2 linked regions of the Mus musculus genome follow. The protein of the gene in region 1 interacts with the protein of each later gene in a pairwise test. Links are inferred from orthologs where the notes say so. Each region holds a gene or a part of one and is shown in the gene's direction. Other genes may lie near its edges.

Region 1 (3,820 bases):
TGTGTGTGTGTATGTATGTATGTATATATATATATATATATATATATATATATATATATATGGTATATGTGTGTATATGTGTGTGTGTGTGTGTATATGTAGTGCCTGCATCTGTAGCACACAGGTAGAGGTCAGAGGGCAACTTGAGAGTTGGTTCTCTCCTTCCATTCTGTGAGTCCTGCAGATTAAACTCAGGCCAGCAGACTTGGCGGTAAGCACCTTTATCCAACGAGCCATCTGGCCAGCCCTGGATCCGTTTATCTGTATTAACTGCAAAGCCTTGCAAGGTTTCTGACAAAGCTGCTGTAAGCCAATGCATCACGCTTAGAGAGAAGGCGTGTTTGCTGCTCTGAGCCTCGTGGACTTCTCTGTTTGTCACTCTGCTTTTATTCCTGGCTTTCTTTATTTTATTTTTGTTTTGTCAACATTTTACAGTTTTCAGCATAAAAATTTAGTACACGTTCGTTGGATTTATAATTATCCCATTATTTTCAAATGGTTGTATGTAACTGTCTGTTTTTAAAAGATACACTTTATTTTGTGTGTATGAGTGTTTTGCCTTCAGGTATCTGTGAGCACCTCATGCATGCAGTACACCCCGAGGCCAGAAGAGGGCACCAGATACCCTGCAACTTGAGTTAAGGGCAGTTGTGAGCCCTGTGAGCCATGTGGGTGCTGTAAAGGCTTGATCACTTTCTCTTAGCTTCCCAAAATCTGGAGTTACAAGTGTGCAGCGCCACACCCTGGCTAGTTCCAGAACTTGTATTCTTTGTATATTAATATATAGTATGTATTATACTGAGTTTTTCTTATATGTTTTTTTTTATTATTTTGGGTAGAGTTTTTAATTTTTTTCATTTAAGTATGTTCATTTCCTAATTATTAACTGAAAGATTTTTATAATAATTACTTTAAAATCCTTTCTAGAGGGCCAAGTGTGATGGCGTACCCCTTTAATCCCAGCAGTCAGGAGGCAGAATCAGGCAGCTCACCATGAGTTCGAGGCCAGCCTGGTCTATATTTCGAGTTCCAGGACAGCCAGGGCTATACAGAGCAACCCTGTCTTGAAAAAGTTCTTTCCCGAGCTGAGTGTGGTGGTGCGCACCTTTAGACTCAGTTCTCAGAAGGCAGAAGCATGTGGATTTTTATGAGTTTGAGGTCAGCCTTGCCTACATAGAAAGTTCTAAAGAACTAGTAGACTGTGGCAGGAAAAAAAATCTTTTCCGTAAGAGACGCTATCTCAAGGGAATAAGGTGTGGGAGTAGAGGGAGTGAGAGATTGGGCGAGCACACCCAGTGTCCTCTTTTGGCCTCTGCATGCATGCATGGGCGTGTATACCTTCTATACATGTACATTTGCCCCTGCACCATACATTGCACAACATATATACACCAGAGCCCAATACACAAGTCCTTTCTAGATAATTCTAGCATCTTTCACCCTAGGTGCTGGGTTGGAACCTAGCCTTTCTTGCATGCCTAGCAAGCTCCGCCCAATGAGCTGCACTCCAGCCCACATCTGACATCTCTACAGTCTCAGTGTGGGCCTTCTTCTGTGTCATTTTGTTTGCGATCTTGGCTGTTCGTGCTAAAAGTGATTATTGGTCAAAACCCTGACATTTTAAACATGGAGAGACTCGGATCTTGCCAGGTGGAGTCCAGATTCTCAGCCCACAGCGGGGGCCGGGCTCCAGCTCAGGAGTTTAGATTTTCTCTGAGTCTCCTTAGAGCACTTTGTTGGGAAGAGAGGACTGCCCATTACTGCTCGACTTCCACTGACAGGTGCATGGTGTCCGGCCAGCTGACCCACCCCCACAAGGCCTTTAGTGGTTCTTAGGGGTGGGGAGGGCAGATTGCCTCTGCTCGGCAGTGATGGACTCTGTGGCTCACTCCTCGGTCTGCTGCATGGTAGAGTGAGTGCCTTGTTATCTGGTCTACACCAGATCCTCCACGTGCATCCTTTTCTGGCTGTACTCTAGGGGGTCAGGGGAGGCTTGCTGTAGCTGTTGTAGTTGTAGTTGAGGCTGTTGTAGCGCATGCTGGTTAGGGCTTCCACCTCTGACCTTTGGGGATGGGAATAGGGTGTTCCTGCAGTGGGCTCTTAGTGTTTGTGTAGAGTAGAGGAGTTATTGGCTCTTTGGGCAGAGAGAGCAAACTTTCCCTGGTCCCTCCCCCTTTTCTATCTGTACTCATTGGGATTTCTGAGTTACCAGTGTCTCCACTAACCAATTTAGGATACGCCATTGCACACCTGTGGAGGTCAGGTGCCACCCATGTATGTATGTATGTATACATGTATGTATATATGTATGCATGTATGTATCATCACATCATCTCTCGTCTCCCCTTCCCTCCCCCAGCACCCCTGCTCACTTAAGTATGTTGATTTCATTATTGCTAACAAAGGACAGTTTTTAGAACTCAACTCATCCCTTCTACAATGTGAGTTTCAGGGGACACAGCATGTCATCAGGCTAGGTGACAAGTGCCTTTACCCACTGAGCCAACTCACCAGCCCCTCCCTCAAAACTGTGTTTCTCATGGGACTTTGTCTCCTTCCAGGTCTACGGCTATGGTCCATACAGCGGCGCATACCCCGCAGGAACTCAAGTTGTCTATGCCGCCAACGGGCAGGCATATGCAGTGCCATACCAGTACCCGTATGCAGGTAATGCACGCTGGCTGCCGCTCCCGGTCTCTGCGTACAGCGGGGCGAGGAGGAGGAGGCCTCCTTTCCAGTTGGAAGTTAAATGAGCTGCACGCTCTCACTGGAGACCCCAAATCACTTTGCCGCTCTGAGCTTTGTGTATTTTTCTTCAAATAGTCTTTTGGGTTTTCACATATCTTTACAGTGCTAGAGTGATTTTTATTTAAAAACGATTACATTTTTATTGATTTTGTGTGCACTTGTTACACATATGTGTGTGGGTACATGTATGTCACAGCCCATGAGGGAAGGCCAGAGGGCAATTCAAGGAAATCAGTTGTCTCCTAACACTGTGTGGGTCCCAGAGTTTGAACTTGGGTTGTCAGATTGGCCCCACTAAATTATCTCTCCAGCCCAGTCTTTGATTATTTAAAGGTTTTAGTAATCTTTATTTAAAATGTAACCAAATATACCTTAGTTGCTTACATTTCCCGTATGTCACTCAATTTAAACATTTTTAAAAAGATTTAGTTTTCCCTGTGTGTACCTGTCTGTAGATGTGTGCACATAAGTGCATGTGCCTGTCGGGGCCAGAATAGGGCATTTGGTGCCTGGAACTGGAGTTATACATGGTTGAGTTGACTTGTGGGTGCTGGGAACTGAAGCAGGGCTCTCTGGAGGAGCAGCAGGTGATCTCACTGCTGAGCCGTCTCTCCAGCCCCCTTGCCAGTCAGTCTGAAACACTAGCAGCTCATGATAAGTAAGGAATAGTGTAATGAAACCACACAACTTAGAAGGCATTCTGGTGGCACAGTACAAATCTACAGTAAGACTAAGGAGCTGGGGAGATGGTTCCGCAGGTGAAGTGCTTGCTGTGTGAGCGTGCGCACCGGAGGTTACACATGCGCACTGAGATGGGATCCAGCGCCATGTAAGAGCCATATAAAAGCCAGGCATGGCAATGTGCACCTGTGTCCCAGCACTGGGGATGTGGAGACAAGAGGTTCCCTGGGGCTCAGTGGCAAAGGGTGCGTCTGCCACACATGGCCTCTCAGATTCTTTCTATAGCTCCCAAAATAATTAGTTGTTGTTTAATGGGACATAGTTATACTTAAAAAGTTATTTGTTATATGAAATTCAAACCAATGGTGTGTCTCTATTCTTATTTACTAAA
Region 2 (3,284 bases), on another chromosome or scaffold:
AGGCCTGGGAGCCAGGGACCTGGCATCTAAACTCGCCCGCACCAAGCTCACCCCCTCGCCCTCAGGCACAGCTTGCTAAACATGAAAATTCACCACCCTTGAAACCTTAATTCTGAAAAATCCCAAAGATTGATAGTGTCTGGTAACCGTGTCTGAGAGTGATTCAGACAGACACGTGGAAGAACAGGAGGCGTGGACCAGCCTCGGCTGGCAGCCCACACATCAGTCACGATGCCACGGCCTCTGAGAACTGGGCTCCGACTAGGCACCAGGGTCTGTGAATCTCACCATGCCTGCCAGGAAGAAGTCGGGTCTGTTGACTTCCTCTCTGTCACCGACTTAACTCCCCACCTACCCACCTCGCTGGTGGATAGGAAAGGGCTCCTATCACTAAAACACGTGGTGGGTGAAGACAGAGAGCCCCAGAGGACCCAGATAGGGCATGGGAGAAAGTTCTGGAGACATGCTCATCTCTGCTGATGTATTAGTTAGTTACCTTCCCACTGCTGTGATGAGACACCATGACCAAAGCAGTTGAAGTTTACTTGGGGCTAATGGTTCCAGAAGGTTGGGGTCCATAATGCAGGGACGGCAGATGAGAGACATGCTGGCTGGAGCTGGAAGCTGGAAGCTCACATCTGGAAACTCCCTCACATCTGGAACAGTGAGCAGGAAACAGAGAGAGTGCTGGAAACCATGGATTTTGAAACCTCGGAGCCTGCTTCCAGCGGCTCTTCCTCCAGCACACCCATATTCCCCAACCCTCCCCAAACAGGTTGGCCAACTGGGGACCAAGAATTCCATTGCTTTCAAACCACCACAGCTGATTGATAGCACTAAGTCTGTTTCTCCAATAGTGAAAGGAATGTAATGACAGCCACCACCTCCAGGGGGCGATAATGCTATAATGTCAACATAGTGTGTTGAGTGTCCTGAAAGAGACAAAAATTCCTTCTTGGAGGTACAAAGGGGAACCTGTAGAGGGCAGCGGGTGTTGGCTGTCATTTGCCATTGCAGAAGGAAGCTTAGCTCTGGGGCATAGACTTTGAAAAAAGATTTAATTTTTAATTATGTCTGTGCCAAGATGTGCATTTTAAACACAGTTGCCCACGAAGGCCAGAGCATCAGATCTTCGTGGAGCTGGAGTTAGAGGAAATCGTGGGCTTCCCAGTGTAGGGGTTGGAGATAAACTCGGCTCCTCTGCAAGAATTCTGAGTGCTCTTAACTGCCGAGCCATCTCTTAACTGCCGAGCCATCTCTGCAGCCCAAGGCACAGATATTTCAACCGGTGCTAGGAAGCGATTTCAGTGGTTAAACTCTTGCATATTTAACCCTCGAGGACCAGAGTTTGCATCCCTAGAAACCCAGGTGATCTGGGCAGATGCCTGCAATTCCAGACTTGGAAGGCGGAGACAGGGGATCCCCACAGCAAAGTGGCTGGCTGGACTAGTGATATGGCCGAGCTCTGGGTTTGATAGAGAGACGCTGCCTCTGTGAATAAGGCAGAGGAGCCATGAAGGATGATTCGGGACCCAACCCTTGGGCTTCCACATGCATGTTTACCCATATGCGCCCCCCCTCACATGCATACAAACACGTGTATACCACACATACATGAAAACAGAGAGAAGGGTTTTTTGTTTTTGTTTTTTTGTTTTTTTCGAGACAGGGTTTCTCTGTGTAGCCTTGGTTGTCCTGGAACTCACTTTGTAGACCAGGCTGGCCTCGAACTCAGAGATCCGCCTGCCTCTGCCTCCCAAGTGCTGGAATTAAAGGCGTGCACCACCACGCCTGGCAAAGGTATTATTTTTACAAAGCTCCTGGGAGCATCCTCCAAGGGGATGCTCGTGGCCCATTGACAACAGGCCATGCACGGTGATGTTGGCCAATGCTTTTCCACTGAGCTCTCCCCCAGGCTCTGTGAGCCAGGTACAACTATTGTTACTCCCATTTGACAGGTAATGGAAACTAAGGCACAAAGAAAATAGTAGAGTCACATTCGAACCCGTACCTTCCATCTCCCTCAGTCCCACGGCCTCCCTCACACAACTTTGCCCTCTCTTCCAGTTTGGCACCGACTGGGCCGTGTACATGACCAAGCCGGATGGCACATTCGTAGTCAGGACGGTCCAGGAGCTGCTGCCGGCCTCGTTTGGACCTGAAGACCTGCAGAAGATTCAGTGAAGGTTGAAGAATAGAATGTCTGCTGAATGTGCAAGCCCTACCTAAGGAACGGCTCTTGGAAGACTTCATAATGATGCTGTCTCTGGCTGGGCCTTGGGGACACTTGCCACATGGGTCCCAAATGGCTGGGCAAGGGTGACCTTGATTCACACACCACAGCCTCCCCTTGAGTGATGGAAGGTGCCACTCACCTAGGCCAAAGCCCACATCCTCTTGGGGACTCAGAGCACTCCTCTCCTTCCACTCCCAAAGACACGGGTATTCCAGACCCGGTCTGCCTCCCTACCAGCCTTCTTAGGCTCTGTCGTGTGACTTTTCAGATTATAAATGCCACAGCACGTGCTGTTTGAGAAGAACGTGTTTTTGTTCTTAGTCTGTGTATACAGTTCTCAGGGGTGGTTTGTCTCACGGGGCAGGCAGTCTTAGTTGCTTTCTTCTGGCAGAGGATGTGGGAGCTTCCCAGGTTGCCTCTCTAAGTGGCGTCTGAGAGCCGAAGCTCCTTGCCTCTGCGTTCTTGGACCGGAGGCCCTTAGGCAGGGTTTGATTACAAGAGCCCATTCACTATAGCTTGGACATGGGATGTGCCTCCAAGGTCCACGGACTGGACCGAGTGGGAGGAAGCTAGGTCACTGGGGATGTGTCCCTGAAGGATATGGAGGCTTCCAGGCTGTACCTCCTCTTCATCACTTCCCAGCTATGAGGTGAGCTGGTCGTGACCACACACTCACACAGAGATGTGCGCTTAGACCGCCAGAGAGGCTCAAAGTTAATGGTGCCTCAGACCAGACCCTCCAAGACCACGAGCCCAGGTAAACCTTTCCTCTTGAGCTGGTTCTCACGGGTCTTTGTTACAGGACAGAAAGCTGACTGGCACACCATTGCTAGAGAGTAGTTTGGGCCCAGTAGAGACCTGAGTCCTGGCACCACCCCCTGCCACAGTGTAATGGGAAGGAAGTGTGGGCAAGGTAGACAAGATTGCCCTCAGGACCTGCTCAGTGTCGCATGCTTTTGTGTTGTTGGTTGTAGGTGCTCAGTGGTCTGGGAGCTGGCTGCCACCTCTGTTTTTAGATGATGGGCAGAGTAGCCAGCTGTGGGCTTTC

The links.
Region 2: the proteins of Plekhb2 (region 1) and Cda interact in binary tests that used the Homo sapiens proteins (3 or more experiments, as listed by UniProt). The two-hybrid records come from large-scale screens. The link is inferred for Mus musculus from reciprocal best matches to the Homo sapiens genes PLEKHB2 and CDA.

What each region holds. Positions count from the first base shown.
Region 1 is NC_000067.6:34,866,739-34,870,558, forward strand, and holds part of Plekhb2 (pleckstrin homology domain-containing family B member 2), read left to right. Parts: intron 1-2,561; coding exon 2,562-2,667; coding exon of another isoform or gene 2,668-2,753; exon of another isoform or gene 2,754-3,820. UniProt on the Homo sapiens protein: Involved in retrograde transport of recycling endosomes.
Region 2 is NC_000070.6:138,337,784-138,341,067, reverse strand, and holds the end of Cda (cytidine deaminase), read left to right. Parts: intron 1-2,067; coding exon 2,068-2,184; 3' UTR 2,185-2,540; downstream 2,541-3,284. UniProt on the Homo sapiens protein: This enzyme scavenges exogenous and endogenous cytidine and 2'-deoxycytidine for UMP synthesis.